Oryzias latipes: one gene and its partners. The main gene of each other region encodes a partner of the protein of the gene in region 2 in a complex. Links are inferred from orthologs where the notes say so. Each region holds a gene or a part of one and is shown on either strand. Other genes may lie near its edges. The genes, in order: flt4, vegfc and kdr.

Region 1 (8,163 bases), on a different chromosome or scaffold from region 2:
ATGAGTTCAGCTAACTGAAAAACATTTTAGCTGCATTCTAACCTAAATTTGTCTTTTGTATCTTTATTAATATCGAAACTTTATTGTTCACCAGCTCTGATGACATGCAAAGGATTCATTTGAAAACTGGTAACGGAAACTGTCAAATTCTTTGAATCAAACTGTTGGGGCAGTTGTAAATAGAAACAGAAGCTTTGATTTTTATTCTAAAATGGACAGTTTTCACCTAAACAAGAACAAATTATAGTGTAAAAGTATAAAAAAAAATGAAGATGATTGTTGTCCTCTTCAAATTTAAAGATGCAAAAAACTAATAGATACATAGAGAAGACAGTCTACAGTTAAAGAAAACTCCCCACTGATTGATTGTCGGGACTCCAGCTAACTTCCTCTGTGTCTCGCACATTAAGATTTCTCAGTTTATTTAATAATTTTCGACAAATAACCTTTCTGGAAGCCAGGAACTCCATCCCACGTGCCACCTGAAAGCTGTAGCAAATTAAATCTTCTATTGTCAGCGGGGTTTTCCACAAGTCCTCCACTGTAAGGGGAGTAAGAGAAAAAGAGTATAGCCATTAAAAAAATTTAAAAAACCACAGCAGGACTATGAATGAAAATGATTCCCACTCCTGATGTAACCATGACTCACTTTTCTCAACCGCACAGTTCTGATCAGGAGCCTTAGATGATGCGCTCTGAGGACTGCCGGGTGGGGAGGAGGGCACAGGAAGCGGCTGACGAGCTCTTTGGTCCGTTTGCCCCGCTTCGATCAGCCGCCTCACCTGGCTCTGGGTTTTGGGAGACCGGTCCTAAATAAGAAACAGTCTTGATGCATCATCTCCGAGATCGATAGCAAACCAGCTACTCCTTGTTTCAGGGCTATTTATGGGCTCAGAATTATGTAAATACATAAAAAAAATGTTATGCAAGAACACAAATGAGAAAAATTGACTTTTTTGCTGTTAAATACATAACAGCAAAGTCTCAGTGTCAGCTGCGTTTGGTTACCCTGTAAGGAAGGAAGAACTCTCGCTTTGCTCGCAGGAAGTTGGACAGATTCCCGTACTTGCAGTATTCCACTATCACCATGAGCGGACCTGGTGATGCACATGTTTCCAATGTTATTTCATCTGACTGTTTTTCTATAGTTTTCATGTTTCAGACATTCAGAGCATTTCTGCCCTGCTCTCTGCTGAGAAAGCCTAAGTGCAGCATTTTTAAGATACGTTTTAAGAAAATCCTATTGACACATTGTCGAAGACGTTGTTTCAGACAATTGACATGTTTCTAAAATTACAGAAAAGCTTTCATCATCTCTCAATTCAAAACAAACTTGTTGAAATTAAGATTTTCTGGACCAAAATCCTGCTTGTTGGTTAAGTCCATCAGTTTGGAAATGGGATTTTATCAAAAACAAAAGGACATAAATGTGTGTAATCGAAGACAAAGCTGGAGGTGTTTTAAGTCAGTGGACTCACCGTTTGGTTTGGTGCAGGCTCCTAACAGGTTAACCACATTAAGATGGTTCCCAATGTGAATCAGAATCTTTAGCTCTGACATTAAGGCTTTGTGTTCACTGGCTGTGGCTCCATCTGTACAAGAAAAAAAAATACACAAAGAAAAACATCACACACCGCTAGAAAAAAAAAAAGGTAAGCAACCTCTTAATGTTTATCATAATTTGATCACACAATCATACAAATTCACTCAGAACAAAACATAGATCAGAGATGAACGGCTGTGCCATGTGTGACGGATATCTTATGAGTCGGACGATAATTATACAAAGTTAACACACAAAAATACACTGCAGACCAGTATGTACTTCTGGTAGGTTTTACACCATTAAAAAATAAAATAAAAACAAGTCTATCCAAACTATGATCCTGCCTCTACCGTGCTCAACAGAAAGAAACTCATATTTATTTTATTTTTTCTCTTGATATGTTTGTGCAGTTTTAAGAACATGTTTAAATTAAGCATAATAAAAGATGGACATATTTTTTATGCTTCAAAATAAAAAAAGTCAGAGAAAGTGCATTTCTTGCAGTTATAATAGACAAAATGTTATAAAGAAAAGTTCACATTAACTGCTTTAAAAGGAAGATCAGTCAAAGAATTGGAATTTTATACAGAAAAAAGGATTTGTTCAACTGTAACTCTTTTGCTCTTGTTTTCTTCTTCCTTATTCTATTTCCTGGAGAAAAGCTTGTTCCACCCACACAAAGCCATTTTTTTTCAATTACAAAAAAGGGCGGTTAGAATTATCACTAAAACAACATTTTTTCATGTGTATATAACTCGGAGATGGATGCACATTTCAGTTCATGGTATTAGGATGTGGAATTTACTGAATATGACATTCAGACAAGGCACAAACACAATTAAATAATAAAAATGTTTACGGTCAAAAGACTGATGGGAAGCAGTTAGGTTAGCTCAAAGTGTAAATTAGTGACTTGGATATGTTTTTGGAAAGAATTACAGTTTATTTGTTGTTGTTGCTCCTTGTAGAAGGAGCAGACTTAATAAGAAAACTTTTCTTCTGTCTGACTTTAACTGTTCATAGCTTGTTTTATTTTGAAATATCTTGTACGCATAGTTAAGTTGCCATAAACAATAACTGTCTGAATCCTTATTTGTAAATGGATGCCTTCAGAATCATTAAAGTACGGTGGCCCTGAAGTGCAAATCTTATCAACAAATCACTCAACACAAAAACATATTAAAGATCACAATGACGATTAAAAAAGAAAAGCAAATAAAAGAAAAAAATATTACATTTTAAAAATCAAAAGTAAATGAAACCAAAATGTAAAAAAAAACTTCTCAGAAGATGAAAGTCAATTTCAGATGTTAAAAAAATGAAATAAAATAAGTAACTGGAAAAGATAGATACTTTGGGACATTGGTGATTGGATGATGATGTTTGAGTTTTGAAGAAGAGGGAAAGACTGAGGATGTTTTTGCTGAACTGTGGTAAAGAGTTGATTGAGCAGAGGCTGAAGCAATGAGCCTAAAGAAATCTGACAGAAGACGTTACAATTCCAAACAATTTCCAGTTGAAAGGGGGAACAAGCGTCATCCAATCAGTCATGTCCCTTTTCCAGTTTCTTATTTTATTTCATTTTTTTCAACATTTCATTTGGATTTCTGGAAATGTGTTTTTTTCGAAACATTCCCATTTATTTTGTGTCATTTTATGTAGAATTTTGTTTTGATTTTTCTAAATGTTAAGTTGTTTTTTTATTATTATTAATGGTTTTGCCTTTTTAATTGTCAGGATCATTGATATATTGTTGATGTGATTTGCACTTCAGGGCTACCTGTTGTATTTACACATTGACTTATCACAAAGTCATCAGTCCTTGACTCATTTTGATAGGTTTGTTATCATTTATACATGGACATATTATTACTAAAATGAGAAAAACCTGCATAATTCATGTAGAATGATCATTTGGCATTTTTGTGGCATTATCAACTCAACTCCGTACTGATATGAAGAAAAAATCTTTGCCTGATCAGATTTACATAAATCTTTATTTTTCAGATGTTTTCAAACAAAACGTGTGAACATAAACTGCTCTAGAATAACTTAGTTTGTGCTTCATTTCTTCATGCTCACAGTAAATAAAAACTTGCCTCTCAGAAGAAACATTTAGATGGAATTAGTGTTGAGGCGCATTTGTTTCTTTTAAGGTATTTTTCCTATAAAACATGCAGACGGTGTAGATTTGAAGGTAAATCTCACCTTTGAGCATCTTCACTGCGACTGTATCCAGACTGCTGCTCTTGCTGATACCACAGAACGAGGCTTCAATGACCTTTCCGAAGGCGCCGTGACCTAAAACCTTTCCTGCATTGAGAGGAAAGGAGAGCTTTTCACATTTAGGATTGAGATTAGAGACCTTTCACACTCAAGTGGGACAGGGAAAGAAGGAGGATCAAGAATGACACCATTTTCTAAAACGTTTCAGCTGTGAAACAGATGCTCCTCCTCAGAGCATTCTGAAAATGCTTCTCTGGAAATGAGCTCATCTTTAACATAACCACCCTACTTGACAGCACTTGGCACTGCAGGCTGTAGGATCCAGACTCATACCATTAAAAAAAAAACAGAAATATGATTGAATTTCATCTGTTTATTTACCCTAATCTGTTCCTCCTCTCCCTCACACCTCCCTTTAACACCCATCCCTTCATTCCTACTTCCATGCAAGTTTTCCCCCATTGCTCACCCAGCCGGAGTCTGTCTCTGGAGATCTCCCACTGTGACGAGTCATAGGGCAGGTATTCACACTGTTCGTCCAGCGGCACCTCCCCTGGGTCCATTATAATAGACAGATAGCCTGTCTTTATGTCCGCTGGGTTAACCTGCCGTTACAGGATGCAGAGTCAATATGAGTTCAGGATGAGTTGAAGGATGGTGGGTATTACACAGGAGGTGCATGAGCTCACATAAGCACAGGTCAGTGGATAAAAGAGCACTTATCAATTTCTAAAGAGCAGCCCAATCTTCTGACAGATAGCTTCATTTTCAATCCAGGAAATGGGTCGAAAAGGCCTGATCTTCCTTCACATTTTACAAATTCTCACCATTTTTGCTAAATGTATTGCAGCCTGGAAATCCTGATTAATACACCATGATGAAGGTTTACATAAAGATTTTAACTTAAACCAAAATCTGAACCATGAAGTTTCCAGCCCAAGAGATTTAAAGCTGTTTTCTTTTATTGGAAATTAATTTTAAAGGAAAGTTGATGTTCACAAATATTACATTGATTGTTTTCAAAAAGTAGTTGTTTTTATTGATAATACAATAAAATATCTTTGATGTAAAAAATAATTTTTGACGAATAAAATGAAAAATGGCTGGAGTGCAGACAGCAGAAGTGGCTGAGCAAACTTTTGGCGACTCAAGGACTGACATGATATTAAACATTTTGTTTCCATAGAGGAAAACAGAGATAGAAAAAGTGGCTTTGCTGCTCTGCAACATCGGCTCAAACAAACCCAGTTTTTAAGTCTCAATGGAGTATACAGCAAAAGCTGAAGGTTTCCGTTTGCATTGAACATTTTAGTCCAACTGTCATTGTTTATTTTTTATATTTTTGCTGGATAATTAAACGGGGATAATAAATTTAAAAAAAGAAAGTTGTGTGATTTACATTCAGGTGTAACGTCCCCCTGTCTGTCTTTTTTTATTTTTTACACAGTCATGATTTACTTATGTACAATTTCAAATAGGTGATGGTACTCCAGCCTCAGAGACACAAACAGAAAGCTCTCTGACCCGTTTGACATTGCAGAAGATGAGGATGAGCAGAAGCCAGAAGAATACAGCGATGACTCCGGTCCCGATGAGAATCACGATCTCCACGTTGGCCCTGTCGTTTGATCCTCAACGCACAAAAAGGATAAGACAGGGAGACAGCCACGAGCATTAAAACACATAAAAGATAGTTACATGTTGACTCTGAAGCCAATTTTTTGTGATTTGTAAAAATGATGTTATTAGAATTTGTGCTTTAAAGGGAAAACTTTTATGACATAAAGGAGACATTCTTACAATAAAAAGCAACAAAAGAGCAATTTTGAATCCTTTTGACAAAATTGACAGATTAAAGATGTTTTGCAGATTAAAAATTAAACTGGTTTTTGCTATGAAACAATCTTGAAAGAATGAGTCCTCACGGATATGCTTTAGTATATTCTAAATTGTATTTTCCTAGTGATTAATTTTAAAAATAAATTTTATTGATTTCAATTTTAAAATGTTGCTTTAATTACAACAAGTAATAATCTTCTCTTTGACGTTGAAATCTCGTTCAAGGTCAACTCTTATTTTATCCCTGAGGGCCTTTGACTTTCCTTCGATGACTGCATGTGTGAACCTGTCTCACCGATGACCCTGACGGCGGCTGAGGAGTGGACACAGCCTCGCTGGTTGCAGGCGGTGCAGGTGTAGAGACCGGCGTCCTCCTCCCTCACTCGCTGGATGCTCAGCGTGCGGTTGGAATTCTGCAGCTGGATCCCTGTGGGAGAAGCACGAGATGCTGATGGATAAGGCTGAGTTTCAAAGAAACCTCCATCCGCTTTCATGCCATAAAAGTCAGTGGTATTTCCAATGGAATTCTGAGGGTTTTGTGGCACAGCATCCCACTTTCATACCAAGGAGCCCTGCAAATCAAATATGTGGTGAATCCTAATTTATATACTTTCCACTCTTTTGGGGCTGCTGGAGCCTATCCCATCTACTATTAGACAAGGCCGGGTGCACCCTGGACGGTTCTCAAGTCCATCGCAGAGACACGTAACCAGACACCCTCATGTTCACACACTGAAGGGCAGTTTAAAAACCTATGAAGAATGTCTTGGACTGTGGGAGGAAGTTGAAGAAAATCCACACATGCGTGAGGACAACATGCAAACTCCACATCACTCTTCCACTTTTGGCTTCTCCCATCAGGGGTCGCCACAGCGAACAAGTCGCATGGTAAATTTGGCAATGTTTTACGCCGGATGCCCTTCCTGACGCAACCTTCTCTAACCGGGCTTGGAACCGGCAGAGGTAGAGAAGGGAACAGGGAGCAGCCTGGAGTCGAACCCGGGTTTCACGGACGGAAGGCGCCGCAAACCAGCACGAGCTAAACTGGTTTTTGGTATGCAAACTCCACATAATAATAATAATAATAATGGATTGGATTTATCTGCGCTTTTCAAGACACCCAAAGCGCTTACATTATGTCCATTATTCATTCACTCCTCATTCATACTTGGTGATGGTAAGCTACAGTTGTAGCCACAGCTGCCCTGGGGCAGACTGACAGAGGCGTGGCTGCCATTTTGCGCCTACGGCCCCTCTGACCATCACCGGGATCATTCATGCGCATTCACACACCAGTGGAGCCACACTGGAGGCAAGGAGGGTGAAGTGTCTTGCCCAAGGACACAACGACATTTTGGCTGGTGGGAGCGGGGATCGAACCGCCAACCCTTCGATCATTGGACGACCTGCTCAACCACCTGAGCCACTGTCGCCCCACATGGAAAGGAACCAGCCAGGACTTGATCCAGAGTCATGAGGGAAGAGTGCTAACCACTACACCACTGTTCTCCTAACATTTAAAGAATAGAAAAACTGAGTGGTGATGAGTAGAAGATGTTGGACAGCAGTTTTATGTTGGTTTCAGTTCTTTCACAGCTGTTTTTTATTTATTCTTTTTGCATAAATACACTGAAAAGTCAAGTTGGTCTTGAACAGCTATCATAATATACTTTACTATGTAAAGACTCACTCCAATGAAAATGTATTTTTGGTGTTTTTACAAATTCTTGAGGGATTTCTTTATGATGGAGAACAGAGAAGAACAGAATTAAGCTTAAAAATGCATTTCTGAGTATTTCTTTTTTCAAATTGGAGTAAACCAAGAGCAGACAGGTGTGACGTAGAAGCTACTACAGCAAGCCACAAGCTCAGTGTTCCAATCCACTTGCAGATAAATAGATCCATATACGTCTTTATTTTCTTCATCTAAGCTGGCAACTGGCTCTAAACTAAACAGCTGAATGGCTCTGACATTGCTCACCGTTTTTGTTGCAACAGTAGTGTTGGGTGGTTTGAGTTGGTGGTTTGAGGGGCTGTAAGCTAGCGAGAAAGACTGTAAACAAAGGCATGATGGGAAATGGGGGTGGGTTTGCGCGTTAAAGTAATCAATAAGTAAAGATTACCACAAAATGATCTTTTTTTCATGATTGTATGAGCAGATACACTGGGTTGTGTGACGTCAGCCATTGGTTTGCATTGGACTGATGTTTCCTCTTCATGAAACCTAAAGTTCCTCTGAGCCCTAGTTATTTTTGTCTTCAGAAAAGTTTCAAACAGGAAGTAGAAGTGTTGATGCTGTCTAATGAATCTCTCCTGGTTGTTGTGAATGTGTGGTAAACTTGAGTACCTGACATTTGGTGGAGAGGCTGATTATCTTTGAACCAGGACAGCCATGGCAGAGGTCTGCCCTCCACGTCGCACTCCATTCTCAGGGACTCGGTCACGTTCACCGTCTGGTTGGTGAGGCTGCGTTTGTAGCGCGGCGCCTCCAGGGCTGCAGGCGGAGAACACACAGGAGAAAATCTGTGGTGTGTTGTGCCGACGTGGATGTG
Region 2 (8,699 bases):
CAAGTCAGTTGGGTTGTTCTCTCAAATCATTTTTATTTCTTTGTTTTGCTACTACTCTCAAACTCTTCTCACATTTCTCTTACTGTCAATTTTATGGAGACACTAAAATGTTTTGTGCATCGACTGACTCTATGGCTGTTTGGAGAAAATGTTTGTCGTAACTTTTTTGGAAAATGTTTCAAAGTTTAGCTATATGAAAACTAGGCCCAACAAATGAAACAATGGAGTTCCAAAACTCTTTCAGTATGTAAAACATTTTGGAAACTCATTCAATTAAAAAATAATCAATGAAATGTTCCGCCTGATGAGAAAGTAACATAATTCAGCAGCAGAAAAGATATATTGCTACCTAACAACAAATAAGAAAATTGTAAATCTTGGCGGGGAGGTGTTTAGACCTAAGCTTCTACGGAAGGCTCCTTTTAGTAGGACATTTCAAAGAACAATTTATTTGGGAGCATTATAGGGTTCTTTTTAATATTATTACTGACATGTTTTATATTTTGGTTTTATTGTTATTTTTGGACAACTTTGTGTGAAATTCACCTTCCTTTTTTGTTGTAACAAAGAAAATGTATGTCTCATCCTGAACAATAAACTGCAGTGTAAACAAATTACTGTTTTCTAATTGTCATACCTAGAATGATGTCATGGAATAGATAAGACATGTGATCTGCCATCTTATGATATATATTTTAAGAAGCACAGGAGTGATCAATGAAGCTTATTGTCAGTTGAGTAATTTCCTCTCTTCCAACTTATTGTTTTTTTCTACATTTTTTAGGTCTTTTTATCCCCATTTTTCATAAAAATATAGGTGTTCTCATTCCCCTTTACATGACTCAACTGCAGCCTGCAGTCTTTCTTATCACTCGAGTTATACCCCCCCCCCCCCCCCCCCCAAAAAATCGTTTATTTTTGCTACGTGCAGTCTGAGGAAAACTGCAGGCTGCCGTCCAAACATTCAAAGGTAAAAAAAGCAAACTTTTTAACCTATATTTGTTTGTTTAAAGACAAAAACGTGTTCATGCTTTTTTAAATCAATTAGATGAATTCTAGATTTTTTGATTGAAACTGATGAATAAATAATCAAATTTTGGAGCAACTCATCAAAACTTTATGGTTAAAACTGTGACCGGAATGGGTGATACGTACTTGATTGCTGATGAAGTTTTGTTAAGAGTGTGCAAGTAGTACATCTTTACATTATTATGGTCTGCAAACAAACAAAAAAATCTAATCACTCAAACTTTCCATTAATAACAACCTTTTAATCTGAGTTTTGAGCCATGAGAGACAATCACAGCACTCCCAAAAACCCACTATGACACAAATAAAACTGACCACTGAAAATGTCCAGATGGAATCCCTAAGAGGAACCTTCTACATGGTGACATTCAATTTTCTTCAAACCAATTACAGATGCAATTTACATTCACATAAAACATCTGATTATTACCTTTTTCTTAAAATACAAGATAATTCAATATTTCTTTCAGTCATCTGATTTTATCTCTGCTTGTATATTCATTTATTTGATTTATTTTGCTTTTTAACATCTCAATATGTACAAAAAGAATAAACAATCACAGGAAATTGTTCTCTGAAGTTGAACAAAAAGACCAAGGTCGGATGTCCGAATAAGCTGACCATTGTTTTGTTTTTTTATGGAGTATGACTGAGAGAAAGAAGCACATAACCAAAGCTGCACATTTTGTTAGGAGACTTCTTAAAGCAGATGCATGGCTAATCGCAACAATACGACTTCAGATGTTAAAGGAGATAATGCAGATATCCTACTTCTCTTCATGCACACAAACTTTAAAAGAAATCTGATAATGAACTTTTGTATGAATGACTTGGATATTTTTTTCCAAGGTGGAAAAGTGTAAATGTGTCACATCTGATCGTTCCAGTTATTAGATTTCTGTGGTTGTGCAAACATGCTCTTTGACTCAAATGTACATCAAAATGATGTCTATGTCTAGTGGTTTGCGATAGAGTGGCTTAAAAAGATATGGATATCTCCTCATTCAGCAATAAATATAGACTGAAGATGAATCTTATAGTAGCGGAGTTTAAAGAAAAAGCCTCTAATTGTATTTTACGGAGCCCCTTGAAGAAAAAAAACAAACTATTGAAGTAAAAAAAAAATAATAATAACTGGTGCTCACCAGTTACTAGCTATTAATACAAATACCGAATGGCTTCAGTTTGTCGTAAGAATCCAAATGCCAAATATAATTTGGACACTTTGCAAAATAACTGCGATGATGCAGACATCTGGCTCTCCAGAGTTCAACACTCTGTGGGTCATGTTCTTGATCCTTGCATGCAGCCCATTTTGAACGCACTTGGCATGCATCCACCAATATCTATGGAGTTTACCGGATGATCTTACATTTTCCTGAATAAAACCTGATTTTAACTGCTCTAACCCCAGCGCTGAAAGAAACCACATGACTTTAAAACTCATTTAAGATGACTTTCAGAGATGATATAATTGTGACGGGGAGGAAGCAAAGCTGCAATCTCTTTGTAGACAAGTCCGAAAGCAAAGTGACACTCAAATGAGCTCAATCAGCTCAACTTGGGAAAATCCCTCAGTGTGCAAAAGGCCACAAATGACCAGATACTAACTGGGATCTTGTGCGCACCTGTTACTTACTGGCACCGGTTAGTTTTTTTTACTTCAATTGTTTGTTTTCTTCAATGACCCTTTAGGGGTTCCGTAGTATTTCTGGTTCCTTGGAGGAAAATATTTAAAAGAGAAGTGGCAGTCCAATACATTTACGCAGTATGAGCTTCCACTTCTAACTTTAAAACGAAAAAAAGCTTTAAACCATTAGAGAACCTCTTTTTGAAAAATTAGGCTCACTGACTTTTCTTTTGGTCTGTGAGTTAGTCCACATGCATGCCCAGCAGCATTATCTCAAATCTGCTGCTATAAAAATCTGTTTAGTGCACGAGATGCTTAATCCCCAGACACCTGATGTTACGTGAGGTTTAACAGCAGAGATGAGCCGCTGAGGTTTTCCAGTAAAACTTTGAAGAGTGTTAGGAGAGAAACCGGTCAACCCAATTAATACTCTTCTGTGATCAAATGCCTCTGTTTAGCGCTCATCTGCCCCCCTCCCTCACCCTGCCTCTGTGGAAGGCTCTCACACACACACTTGACCCCTGTGACACCTGTCTCTATTCGCTCTTTTCTCTAGCTAATTTGAAAATACCCCTTCTTAATCCCGAACCCCCCGAAGGCCCACCCAAAACTCGCAACCAAGTAACGTTCCCCCTTTTATCCCTGTCTTTGTCGATCCAGTCTCTTCACCAACCTTTGTGAAAGGCTTGTTTAGTGGCGCAGACGTCCAGCGTTTGTTAAAACAGACAAGCAGCAGCTCCTAAAGGTTTTGAAGGACTTGAGTGTGTGCAGACTCTGAAGATGATCCCTCACAAGAACAGCACATATTCTGGAAAACTCAATCTTCTCCTTCATCTTCTCCTGAGACTCTTCCTGGCACCGGTTTAGATTTTACTCATCCAAAACACAAAAAAGAAATAAAACCTGTGTGTGAGTAAGAGGTCAGTAAAAAATGCAGCAGAGGAACCAGTTTTGTTTTTAAATGGTAAAAATGCTTAAGTGTTTCCTGATTCGTTAGTAGTTTTTTTGCCTGGTTTGTAACATCACTTGACGCCAAAGGCCAAACTCCAGCTTATCAAAAGCAGTTTTATGACCCTCTGTTAAAAAAAACTTGATGAAAATATGAACTGAAATATATCAAATACCTCAATATCTGATTTCATTTTACTCTTTTTAGACAACTTTTTAGAAACGTAACATTACTTTCATCTCAACAATACAATACATTCTGTGTCAAATAAATGAGGGGTTAAGTGTTTGTTACCAAATTTAAACCTAACTACTTTATAGTACACAATATCTGTATTTATGGCAAAAAATACCTTTAGCACTCAAAACAATGATTTTTTTTATTAAATATGGTCATTTTCCCGAGCTGGAAGTTCACACACTTATGGACATTTTTATATTTGCACATTCCACATTTTGCATATTTGCACACTTCCGTTGTACACTTTGTAGCTATTGTACATATTGATTTTTTTTTATTATACTTTGTTAGATTTTGTTTTTGCACTGTAATGGTGATTTAATTGTCCAAGTGGACAGTGACAATAAAGGCATATCTATCTATATCTATCTAAGACGCCTCAATCTCTGATTCCCCGGTTTTCGCTCTGTGTGGTTGCCGTTCATTTACAGTAATGACGTCAACCTGGAGCGTGTTTGGGTCTCACCCACAAAAAACAAAAACATCCAAACTTTTGTACAGACGGATGTGCACATTGTGCATGTAAAAGGATAGCGCTTTTCCCAAACACAGCTAGCTCCATGGAGAAAGTGGGTGTTCGCGTTAGCCTGGGGGCGGTGCTGGCAGTGCAGACTCTTCCTGAAAGGGGCTAGTTTTTACTTTTATATGTATGAATGTGAGAACCCGCTCGTTTTCATGGATTGGGAGGGGCTGGTGCTCAGAGAGGCAGGTTTTAAGAGAAATGCTCAGAGATGCGTGAATGGATCAAAATACCGCTTTGGGGTTTCTTTCTGTGAGGAATGAACATTATAATACACTTAAAAGCTCAAAATTTTGATTTAGCATGATATTGGCCCATTTATGTAAATCTTAAGTCGAAGTTAAATATTTAGTAAAGAATAAATGCCAATTAGATCATTATCTGTATAATATTTGTGAGGAAAAAGTGACAACTTGTAGTGCATGGCATGATTAGAATAGAAGAACTTTGGAATCTAAAGACAGAAGACAGTCTGCAGGGAGAAAAAGAAGACGAGAACAAAGTGGAGGTCTGCGTAGACGTGTCTTGACAATAACTTTTAGATGTTAAGTAAGACTAAATAAAATATATTTCTTTTTTGTTTAAACCAAATTTGTGATGTTTTTATAAAACATTTTAAGTGTTCTGTCACAACAAAAGCAGGTCAACTTAAGCACTTTCTAGAGTCTCATCTCATCCGTTACACAAATGTTGCCACATTGACTTGTTCTCCACAAAATGACCCTGCCTTTATCTCACATGTACGGTATTGTCCTCTAAACCTCATAATGCCAGAAAGCTTTATTCAATGATTTGTCTTCATTTTTGCCATAAAACAAACCGTGCTATAAAAGCACAAGACTTTCATTAGGAACTTGTTGCAATATTGCACTGACTGATCTCCTTGAACTCATTTTTGGAACCATTATGAATTACAACAAAGTAGCCCAGTCACACACTGGCTGTTTCTGTTTGGGAGTCCTTTGATTTAAGGAAAATGTCAAAGAGAATATGACAGATCAACACAGCGCATTACAAAAGAAAATCCAAATCTATGCATCAAACTTGATCAAACTTGTGAACAATGAAGGTCAAATGATCATTAACTGATCCTGCAGATCAGTGAGTGAGGAGAATTATTTTACCATGTGTAGTTTGAAAAAAAAAAAGTAATGATAACACAAATCTCCTTACCCCTCAGAACTTAACATGTAATAGTTCTGCCTCACATCTTCAAGGGGTGCGTCTGTCTGTTTCATGAGAACAAGCAGCTGCAGCTGCGGGCTGCAAAGAAGCCGAGCGCACCGCGGACTCACCGGCTCGTCCATCTGCTCCTGCTCGTAGTCTTCATAATAGTCGCTGGCGAGGTTGGAATAAAGCAGATATGCCAGTAAAAGAGATATTCCCAGTAGGTGCATGTTTATATGAAGTCCGGGAGTGTTTATGATCCGACAACCATAAAGACGGGGGATTTTAAAAAACCCTCCACGGTGCCTGAGCCGTCCTGCCTCCCCTCTCTCTCTCTCTCTAGCTCTCTTCTTTGTCTCTCTATCAGGGTGCAAGACTCCAGCCTGCAGCGCGCGCACCGACCCTGGTGTGGATGGACGCAGCGGAGACTGCGGGCGTTCATGAAGAGCGCACGATTCCAGGAAAACCGCCCGCATGCGCCTTCACAATAAAAGCCTCAGAGCACCCGCATGTGTGAAGAGGGGAGGCTGGGAGGAATGTTGGAGGCAGCCAGAGGATAGTTTCCTGGTGACCTCACCATAAATGCTGCGCAACACCCCAGTTTTGACATTTTTCTTTAATTCAACATCACAATTCAAGGCCGGATATAGGCATGGCCAAAAAAAACAACAGCAACATAAAAAGAACAAAAAAGATATAAAACTTTCTATATATGTGATTGATTGATTGGTTGGTGATAGTTTTATATATATATATTTATATTAATGGGCTGATGCTTTGTAATAAATTGTGAAAATTAATTCATTCACCTTCTTGCGTTTTGTCCCTTTTGGGGTCACGGGGCTGCCGGAGCCTATCCCAGCCACTTGTGGGTGAAGGCAGGGGACACCCTGGACAGGTCGCCAGTCTGTCACAGGGTCACGTATCACACACCCAGTCACTTTCACACTCACACCTATGGACAACCCCAGAGAGAACCCACACATGCACGGGGAGAACATGCAAACTTCACACAGAAAGGTCCCCTGTTGATGTTCTGCTTCAAGTCCCCCAGCCAGGACTTGAACCGGGGGCCTTCTTGCTGTGAGGCAAGAACGCCAACCACTGTTCCACCGTGCAGATGATTGATTGACAATAATAAATACAATAAAAAAATTGTATTTATTTGATCAAAATAATGATTGATATTAGGATGGTTTAAGAATAAAGTGGTGTGTCTTACTAGCATTGCTGATTTTTTCCAGTCCTAAAAGTAATTTGCTGATTTCAAATGGACTTTTGGAAACAGTTTTCTGGTGCCTTCTTATTTTCTTTATGTGGGCCAAATCATTCCTTCAATTGGGATAGATTTCAGTGGAGCCCAAAGACATGGAAGCTGGTGTTGACAATGAGAGATATCATATTCAGTAATCCAAATTGAATTATCTGTAAAGTTGGCCACAGCCATGTGCCATCTTGGAGCTGTATGAAGGCATTTAAGGGATGCCAAGCTGGCCCAAATTTGACAGTGAAGGTCTCATAACAGATTCATTTCAGGGATCTTTGGCCAAAGTGTTGATGGCTGACTTTGCTCATCATGTGTCCTGAAACATAAGCTGAATCTGGTGGAAATGTTAAATGTGATGTTTATCAGAGAGTGACTGAAAAGGTTGCAATGTTGCCTTGAATTGGTTTTGTTTGACAGAGTTTGAGCTGTATGCAAAACCTAGGCAAGCACATGTTTGCAGGTTTCATGGAGCCTCTGACGTCTGCAGACAAAGACTCTCCAGTTAGTAAAGAATACCACAAAACTCTTCTTTAAATTAAAACCACAACCAACAAACACAAAATATCTATTACTACGAATACGGCCAACTATGAACTTAAAATTAGATTGAGATCATCTTCTATTTCAACCGGCAAAAAAATGAGACTGACATTTCTCATTGCTTGTCATTTTTTTGAATGTGAAGATACAGGAATCTTAAACAAGTGCACATGCATTCATGTGATGCTCGTGAGAAATATTTTGGTAAGAAACGTTGTCTTTATTAACCATCTTGAAACAATATACCATTACTGGCTTGAATGTCCTTTGCTGATGAATGTTTACTGACGTCTTTCCAGATCAAGCACCTTCATAATCTATGTATGTAAAGATAATAACTGCTTGATTCCTCACAAGTGTTTTTTTACACACTCAGAGTACAGAGGAGGTGCAATAAGAAAACCAAGACAAACATTAAACGGGTGTCTCAAAGGAGGACAGGTTTGGGGCATCCAAACATTTAGTGAGAGCTTGTTTAAATCAATGGAATAGGAACCAGTAAAGAGGATTTTAAACTTTCACATTCAAGATTTTCCAAATTTCACCTTCCTTCTGCAGACTTTTCGCTCGAAAGACTTTTTATTAGACGTGTTCACTTGAAAGTGTGTTGCCGAGGGCGATGTGAATGCAGCTTTATGGGTTGTTGTATTTTTGTCGTCTTTTCATGGCATCTTTTCTTATTAAATCTTGGACTTCCCTGGATCTGACATCTTAGGTTCTTCTATTATCAGACACAGTTGTGTTTTTTCACATACCTTACATGTTTCGTGTCCAGAGTTCCCTGGATCTGTTTGAGTCCTTCCTGCTCCTGGGTTTCACTGCCGGCCACCCGTAACAGCAATGTCATTGCAGGAGTTCAACATGTGGACTTTCCCAACAATAGCTTCACAAGGGGCTTCCTAAAGGTGTTTGATGAAAGCATCTGCTCAGCCTCAACAAATGAAAGCCCACTCATAAAGCCAGTTTTGAATCATCACAGACCTATGGGATACAATTACATTTCAAATTCCAAAGGCCACTAGTTGTGCTTTCATGACAAAGGTCCAACTCAGAGAAGAACTCTTGGTTTACATTCTTACTCATTCCACTCAACAGGGTGAGCAGGCTCAGCTGGAGTGACTTGACATGTTGAAAAAAAAAAATCATCAGTTGTTGAACAGACCTCAAGATAAAGTAAAGTTCTGACTCATGCACACGGCAATGAAATGGAAATCTTTAACCACGCAGGGGTCTGAAAGCCTCTTTGAGTTTAGAGAAAACGGATGTGTGGGCTCGAAAGAAGAGAAAAAGGATGCTTTGCAGACATTTGCGGTATGTGAAATCCATCAGTGCGGTCAACTTTCCAAGGACTTACATG
Region 3 (8,163 bases), on a different chromosome or scaffold from region 2:
AGATCTGAAGTCATAGAAAAACTGATGTTAGACCCCTCAAGACTCTGCATGTTTGCAAAAGATGTGTAAAGCAGGAACCTCTTAGAGACAGACGCAGCAGAAGGCACGTTTTCACCCCAGTCTTTATGTTCACCACCTGGCAGGCATAGAGGCCCTCATCCTGAAAGGATGCATTGGGCAGCATTAGCTCCAAGGTGATGTTGGTTCCCTGCTGTGTGGGCAGCACAGCTTGTGACACGGGGACCGGCTGAAGGGTCATGGAGTGACACGGCTGAATCGGCGCATCCCGCTCTGACTTGGACACATTAGCCGCAAGGAACCAGGTGAGGTTGGTGTAGATCAGTTTGTCCGCCTTGCACCTCAGAGCCACATTGTCCTCCTCCAAGGGCTTATCAGATGGATACATACTCACTTCAAGGTTGCCTATCAGAAAGCAAATGAAAAAAATGTGTTATAAAGCACATGTATGCAACAAGAAGGGATGAAGGAGCATAATGCTTACTTGTCACACGGAAAATGATTATCCGATTGTCCTTCCCAACTTTATTAGAAGCCATGCATCTGTAGAGTGAGTGGGTGTCTGCGTTCCGGATCCTTAAAGTGCTTACAATTTTCTAAAAAGTGAATCAAATGTATTTGTTAACATTCTTTAAAAGATAAAAATGCCCAACACACACCTAAAATGATGATTGGTAGAGAAGTGATTGTAACCTGCGGTTATCAGTCAGTGGTTTACCTTTGCGTGAGGATCGATGTCAGTTGTAGTCCTCTCTATATGGTTGTACCCACTGCTGTTGCTGATATCTCTCCAGTTTTTGCACTTATCCACCACCTCAGGCTTTATCACTCCGGGCCTGATGCAATAAAAACGGACACGGAAAACCAAGCTGGAATACCATTTTCATGATTCATTCCAAAAAACTGGGCTAGCCTCAGCTTAGTTCATTAACCAACTCTTAATCTTGCCACTTATTTTTTCGTAACTGCTATAAAAATAAACTTAGTAAATTTAATATAACACCTGGTAACTACAAAAACAACCCCTCTAGAAGTAAGTAATATAATCTTAAAATATGAAAAAAAAATTATTTGAATAAGCATTAAAAAAAATCTGCCAGTTAAGTGGGGTAAGAAAAATGATCTTACCAAGAATTGTAATTAAAAAAAAAAAAGGTCTAGTCAATAAAATTATTTTGCTATTGAAAAACACTCGTGATGAGATTATTTTTACGCAAGACAGAAAAGAAGACATTAGAACAATGGTCTTTTTAATTTATTACAATTCAGTTTTTGCAGTGTGCAAACATTTTATTGGGATGTCGTCTTGTTTTTAAATATGATGGGAATTTTTCCCTCATTTTTTTCGATCATTTTTGCCGATAAGAGAAAGTTCACTATATTTAAAGTGTATTTCTTGAAACCAAGTCATTCTATTTCGAAATTGTACACTAGGGCGTTTTATTTTCTTTTTTTTTCATTTTGAAAGAGCTACAGGAACAACAGGAAATGTGGATCAGGACGAAGGAAACTCTGGGATGTGCAGGCAGAAGATAAGGAAGCTGCTGCATGGTCTTCTCTGGTCAAAGTGGCCACTTACGCACGAAAGAACAAACCTCCTCTCTATCAACACCCATTCAACCCTTGCAGGAGTCACTGAGCAGGCAGTTGTGTCACTGCAGAAATGTGCAGGCTGCAGACTTTGGAGCTCCGATCTCAAACAACTGGCCCAGACAGAACAAAGATTTGTGCAAGAAAGTCTGATGTCTTCTAAAATCGAACATTTTGAAGAGACCGAATCACATCCGCTGATCTCCATCAGGGTCAGAGTGCCCCTCATTGTCTTTTTTCTTGTTTTTGTCAACAACCTCTATTGTTTTTGCCAACCTCATGACAATAAATGATGACGAGGCATGTGATCACGGCACAGAAACAAAAAAGGAAGAAATCCAGTGTTTACTGGTTTTCACACACACACACAAAAACGACTTACACAAAGGTTTCCCTGCAGTCTTCCTTAGGCATCCACTGCCACTGAATGCTCTCAGGAATGGGAAATCCACGGGCGGTACATGTCAGATCAGGGCTCCCACCATATGAATACATGTCCACTGGAACTTCTTTCTCAATAATACGAGGAGGCACTGAAGGAAAAAAGAAATCATCACTATGACATTTTCAGAAGCTCAGGAACAAAACAGAAGAGAAGTCATCTTTCATACAATTGACCAGCAGCTGGAAAGAGGATCTCTGCTCCTCTTTTGTGACCTTATTGCTTAGGATCAATGTGTAGTTTCCTTCATCTGCCTCCATGACTCCGCCACGGAAGACCAGAGCGTCGCTCTTCTGTTTGATTCTGTAACTCTCCTTAAGTACTAGGCCATCTTTTAACCTAAACAGAATAATGGTACAAAAATGTGCAATGTGCAGCTTTTTCATGTGTAATAAAAGAACTGTTTATGACACACAACTGATGACAAACTGCCACTGCTACATGAACATACCATTTAAAGCTGGGTTCAGGGTACGCAGAGTACCTGACAGGGTAACTTGCTTGAGCTCCCACCGTTACTTCCCAGACCTTTGGCCAGGGTTCCTTCATTTCAATGAAAGGCTTTTCTGCAGGAAAATAACAACATAATTATTCATATTTATTTGAATTGTTTGAAAATGTTGATCTTATGGAAGTTCATGGAAGGAAAAACTGTGCAAATAAGACTTCAGCAACTGATAAATTCATCCAGCCAAGATGAGATGCTTTGTTATTGACACTAAACTATGTCCAAGCTTTTGTGTGTAGTAAGGAAAACCGTCAGGTGCCCCAGCATGAGCTGTATTATAGACCAGGTCACCCCTGCTCTATGGAAGCATTTCTGTCTCATCATTCAAAATAGAAGTTAATACCTGAATGTTTTTTCATTTGCACAATAAAGCTACGTAATTGACTCAAAAATTAGATGAAAAATAAATCTGCTAAACAGTTTTTTTCTTCTTCTTCACCGCTCAGTCTGTCACTTTATTAAAATGACAAAGAAAATGTTTTTTGACATTTCATTTTCAAAAAGTTCTCTAGTAAATGTGTACCAAAATTCAATTAGAAATACTGTATCTAAGTAGATGATTAAAATGGATTAAAAAAATGCTTTTTCCTTTTCACAATGTAACTGCATCAATTGATTCAAAAGTAAAATAAAAAATCAATCCTCCAAAATGCTTTTCCACTTTAACACCCCCATTCTGTGACATAATTAAAGCATTAATGCAAAGAGGGGATTGCATTTTCATTTTCACATCCACCATGCAAAAACTGTTGCATAAATCCTTTCCAATCAGCTGTTCCATGAGGGAGGCAGGGCAATGATGTCAGTGTTCACTCGGTGTGCTGCTCCAGGGAAGGCTTTGTAGCGCAAACAGGACGGCCGGCCGGCCGGCCGGCTGCTCCAGGCGAGCGAAGTATGACTCTGATCAGTGCAGCCGGACTCATAGCTTCGTGTTTGTGGGCAGGGAAGGGGGTTTTGTTACGGTGTGCACTCCGGGGGAGTGCAATCCCCTCTTTGCATTATCGCTTTAATCACGTCAAAGACTGGGAGCTGTTCAAGTAGAGAAACATTTTGGAGGATTGATTTTTCATTTTATTTTTGAGTCGATTGATCCAGTTACATTGTGAAAAAGAAAAAGCATTTCTGTTAATCCAATTTTAATTATCAACTTAGATATTTCTAGTTGAATTTTGGTACACATTTACTAGAGAACTTTTTGAAAATGAAATGTCAAAACCATTTTCTTGATCATTTCATTTATTTCTGAGTCAATTGATGCAGTTACATTGTGTGAATGGAAAAGCATTTTTGTTAATCCATTTTAATTGTCCAGTGCACCTACCGTAGACTTTGACGTATGCAGAGGCACTTTCATCCATCTGCCCGCTGGATGCCGTGCAGATGAATTCTCCAGAGTGTTCCGTTGTCACGTTCTCCACAATAAGAGTATTGGAAAGCTCCAGAGAGTTCCACAGCTTCTTCTTGTGGGGAATCGTGTGGAGTTTCCCGGAGTTCTGAGTTAGCAGGACACAAGAAATAACTTTGTTTAAATGTGAATTTCTTGAACTAATGTACAGTGTTCCCTCACTATATGTGGTTTACTTTTTGTGGTCTCACTATTTTTGAGATGTTTTTTCAGTGCAACTTTGCATGCTTTGTTTATTTAACAGTGCACTGTGTTCTGCATCCTGTTGACCTTGTCGATCAATCTCCTCCGTGCCATAAGGACAGCTGAAATAGTTCAGCTTTCCGTATTTACATAAATATTCATTGTGATCAGTAATTTGTTTTCATTCTATAAAACTGGACATTTTTTCCATGAAGGTTTGAACATTGAGAATTTAAACAAAAGAGAAAACTGTAAAAGTGTTCATTTCTGTCTAAGAAACATGGATAAAGTATGTAGTGAAGATTTTTACATCCTTAAAACATCTGTAGTTCACCTATCGCTGGTTATTTTTAGAACCTAACCCTGTGATAAACAAGGTAACACTGTATATTTTTTGATGTGGAACATCTCTCCATGTTTGCATTTAAAACATCTCAGCTGCCTCTTGACCTTTGACCATGTTGCGCTGTCTGTGTAGATCAGTGTTTTTCAACCTTTTTTGAGCCACGGCACACTTTAACCTTGACAAAAATCCCGCAGCACACCACGATCCAAAAAAAAAAAAAAAAGCAGGAATTCATGGTCTGTATTGATCGACAGCCGCCCCCCCCCCCCCCCCCCGCAATCTCACGTGGATTTTTGTGATAAATGTGGCAGAAAAAGCAGGAAGTTGTGGCTGTTTTTTTTCTAAGAGATGAAATAAAGGTTAAATTAGAAAAATTTAGAAACTGTTTGTTTGTTTGCTGTGGTTTCAAGACGTTTCACAAGGACAACTCATTGTGCGCTGGGACACTGTCCCTTTAAGCCAATGCATCATGGGAGAAGTAGTGTGAAAACTGCTGAAAAAGGGCAGAAAGACTCACGTCTCTGAGCTTCATTGTTTTGTTCACTTGTTCCACGGTCTAACAACGGACTCTGTGGAAAGCTACACACTACATGAGCTGCATGCGGGGGAAAACAACTTGGAGCTGCAGAGGATGTGAACAGGTAGAGAGGCGGAGGCGGGGCTCAGACTCACTGCTGATGATTCCAGATCCGCAACAGCTGCTTCCTAATAAAAAATAGTTGTCATCCATAAAATTAATATAATTTATTGGGTTTACTGGATTTAAAGAAATAAATAAATAGAATGGAGTCTGCATCAAAGTGAATTTGTTTCCATCATCTCACTCATCTTAACTCTGGGTGTTTGACAGACAGAAAAGTCTATTCAAGATTGTGGAAAATGGACAACAGTTCAAAGAAACATAACGCTCATAAATAATTAAATGAATAATTGAATGAATATCCTGATAGTATTTTAATCAATACAAGCATTGCCAAATGAACTATCACGATATATCGCCGATTTTTTTCTAACACCCCTAGTGTTGCGGCTCCCTGTGCCTTCATTTCTGTGGGAAACTGATGGAAGTGGCTCTTTGAGAGGTTCAGGTTGGACCCTTGACCTAGAGGCACACAATAAACTGACAGATGCTTGGAAGCAAAATGTCACAAATATTTTAAAAAAGACAAGGAAGTGAGAACCCGGAGTTCTGGTATGAACGTCACTGAAGCGTTTTCACCAAAAATGTGTCTGGTGTGGGGGGTGGAGGATTAGGGGAGGGTGAGGCGTGAGACTCACCAGGGCCCCTCCCGAGTGGGTCCAGTTGAATTCAATGCCTACGTTGAGCTCGGTGTTGGCAGTGCAGATGAGCTCCAGCTGCTCCCCTACAGCCAGCCTCTGCTGCACAGGGGTCAGGGTGAGGTCATGAATCTTGTATCCTGCGGAAAAGGGAGGGAAGGCAGTCGGCAGACAGCCTATTGTTCTCCTGAGACTTCAGATGCAATCCACTTTTACACACAGCACTTTCAGAAAAAAAACATTTTTCTGGGTTTGTTCACTCAATAGAAAATTCAGCTCAGCTCTGATTTAAGATTTAGTCTCACCCACGACAGCCACAATGTACAGAGGAGACTTGAAAGTCTCATTTCCAATCCGGGTCTGGCAGGACACCACACCAGCATAGCTGATAAGATGAGTGGGCACAATGAAGCCCATCTTGGCATCCCACACCAAGTCTTTGCCATCAGGATGAAGCTCTTTGGTCGGATACTTCTGACAGATACAGGAATATATAGGTTTTGACAAAAAAGAAAAGAAAAGGAAAATATGATCAGGCATGTATGGGTTTTTACAGAGTAAAGTAGCGTGACAGACCTCTTGTTGTCCTGTAAATGTTAACAAAAAGCTGCTAACAGCAGCTATTACTGCCCCAATGTCTGTTAGACACTATGTACAGTATGTAAGCAAGCAGAAGGCCTCCTGAACAAACACTGGGACATTGTTGGAAAAAGACAAAAATAAAAATTCTAATTAATTCCTGAACTTAAGGAATCACTAGAGGAATTTGGACTTTTAAGACCCGGTCCATTGAAAATCAGGTTTTTGGTGTTTTTCACATGTTCTTGTAGCTTTTTTCTGATGAGGGATGACATATATAAAGAAAATTAAACTTAAAATTACATTTCTAATATTTAAATTTTGAATCAGATGCAGACCAAAATTTGTCATTTAAAAATGCCTGTAGCAGTGATGTACAGTAGGTGCTACAGCTGGCAGGCCACAAGCTCGCTGCTCTGCTCCATTCTGATGCATCCATTTGCAGACAAACGGATCCACGAACGTCTGTTTTCCTCATCTGAGCTGGAATCGGACTCCAAATTGTATGGCTGGATAGCTTCAATATTGTTTGACATTTTTGTTGTCCTACAAAATGACAAAGGTTTTCTGATTATGACTAAAAACGGCAAAATCCTAAATTCAGGCCAAGGGAGCACTTTGAAAATAGATGAAAAGATGATCAGAGTTTAATTTTAATTGAAAATTTCTCTGATAAAACTTTGACTTTCTTACAAAATGTTTCACTGGTTAAATTTCAGAACTAGTTGTCATGGCTTTACACAGACCCTCTAGTAAGTGTTTTATAAGGCTGAATCTCTCCTCTGTGTCTGTGGACACAACAAAACCTTCATGAATTGGAACATTCTAGGTTGTTCTGCAGCCTAGGATCCACAGAAATGTCTCTATCCTAGTGAACAATGTAATTTCACAATGAGAAAAGACAAATAGCTTTTCCTTACAATGTTTAGAGTAACATTAAGGTTTTCTAGTGAGCCTCTGCATGGTATGACTACCCGCTCCCCTTCACGGATGAATACCACCTCGTATTCCTTCTCAGATGGAACAAACGGCACCCTGTGATCTGAAATAAAACCCAAGCGTCAGACATTTACGTTCACTGAGGGAGTGGGAGTGCCGTCATGGTGAAGGCAACTATAGGAGTTTTACCGTGGACAAAGACGTAAACTGCTTTCTTGCCATCTTCAGCCTTCAGGTCTGGGTACGAGCAGTGGTACTCTCCTGTTTCATTGACAGTTGCATTGGTAATGGTCAGCGCTGAGCAGAAAAATCCTGACCCGCTGCAGTCCCTGATGGAGAAGTGAGTGCTTGTTGGGGGGGTCAACCACCTCACATACTGCCGACCTCTGCAAAGAAAGTTCGGAGTTGGATGTTCTGGAGGCTGAAGAAAAGAACGGCAGCGGGATGTATCCACTCATACCTGCAAATCAGTTCCAGGTTGTCTGATTTGTTCATCCGATGTGTGCCATTTATGTTAAGAGTTGGTGGATCAGACATGAACCGCAGGTCGATGGCTGCAAGAACAAGTCACAGTCAGCAGGGATGGGAGTATCCCACATAACCATGCTTCATGACGCTTAGAAAATCCTTTCCAAATGATCTTGGGATTAAATATGTTTTGAAAGAGAAACAGATTTCAAAAGGAAAACATCTCAAAATGAGATTGTTTTGGAACTGGATTTGGATAGGGTCACTTTTCCATTCCTGCAAAAAATGGCAAAGTTGTGTCAAAACAGGAAATGGGGGGAGATGGGTTGGGTCAGGCTCAATAGTTCAGCACAGTGTGGCCTAGGTGGAGTTCCTGTTTCTGAGGATACAGGCTGCCCGCCACCTCC

What was found.
Region 1: the proteins of vegfc (region 2) and flt4 are in contact, whole or in part, in a crystal structure (PDB 4BSK), measured with the Homo sapiens proteins. The link is inferred for Oryzias latipes from reciprocal best matches to the Homo sapiens genes VEGFC and FLT4. Residues at the interface, in NP_005420.1 of Homo sapiens: Leu119, Asp123, Trp126, Gln130, Asn167, Arg210; in NP_891555.2 of Homo sapiens: Gln172, His199, Asp200, Ala201, Leu202, Tyr203.
Region 3: the proteins of vegfc (region 2) and kdr are in contact, whole or in part, in a crystal structure (PDB 2X1W), measured with the Homo sapiens proteins. The link is inferred for Oryzias latipes from reciprocal best matches to the Homo sapiens genes VEGFC and KDR. Residues at the interface, in NP_005420.1 of Homo sapiens: Thr148, Asn149, Phe151, Lys153, Phe186, Ile188, Val190, Pro191, Leu192, Gln194, Pro196; in NP_002244.1 of Homo sapiens: Val135, Tyr137, Ile215, Val216, Val217, Val218, Asn253, Val254, Gly255, Ile256, Asp257, Phe258, Asn274, Arg275, Asp276, Phe288, Leu289, Ser310, Ser311, Gly312.

Annotation. Positions count from the first base shown.
Region 1 is NC_019868.2:19,015,507-19,023,669, forward strand, and holds part of flt4 (vascular endothelial growth factor receptor 3), read right to left. Parts: intron 8,106-8,163; coding exon 7,959-8,105; intron 6,039-7,958; coding exon 5,907-6,038; intron 5,404-5,906; coding exon 5,297-5,403; intron 4,378-5,296; coding exon 4,242-4,377; intron 3,860-4,241; coding exon 3,755-3,859; intron 1,593-3,754; coding exon 1,479-1,592; intron 1,098-1,478; coding exon 1,009-1,097; intron 810-1,008; coding exon 650-809; intron 542-649; coding exon 447-541; intron 1-446. UniProt on the Homo sapiens protein: Tyrosine-protein kinase that acts as a cell-surface receptor for VEGFC and VEGFD, and plays an essential role in adult lymphangiogenesis and in the development of the vascular network and the cardiovascular system during embryonic development.
Region 2 is NC_019859.2:6,640,770-6,649,468, forward strand, and holds the start of vegfc (vascular endothelial growth factor C precursor), read right to left. Parts: upstream 5,766-8,699; coding exon 5,664-5,765; intron 1-5,663. UniProt on the Homo sapiens protein: Growth factor active in angiogenesis, and endothelial cell growth, stimulating their proliferation and migration and also has effects on the permeability of blood vessels.
Region 3 is NC_019862.2:258,406-266,568, reverse strand, and holds part of kdr (vascular endothelial growth factor receptor 2), read right to left. Parts: intron 7,843-8,163; coding exon 7,749-7,842; intron 7,675-7,748; coding exon 7,478-7,674; intron 7,392-7,477; coding exon 7,270-7,391; intron 6,245-7,269; coding exon 6,076-6,244; intron 5,911-6,075; coding exon 5,771-5,910; intron 4,052-5,770; coding exon 3,880-4,051; intron 2,617-3,879; coding exon 2,502-2,616; intron 2,390-2,501; coding exon 2,220-2,389; intron 2,142-2,219; coding exon 1,991-2,141; intron 855-1,990; coding exon 737-854; intron 615-736; coding exon 503-614; intron 424-502; coding exon 79-423; intron 5-78; coding exon 1-4. UniProt on the Homo sapiens protein: Tyrosine-protein kinase that acts as a cell-surface receptor for VEGFA, VEGFC and VEGFD. Plays an essential role in the regulation of angiogenesis, vascular development, vascular permeability, and embryonic hematopoiesis.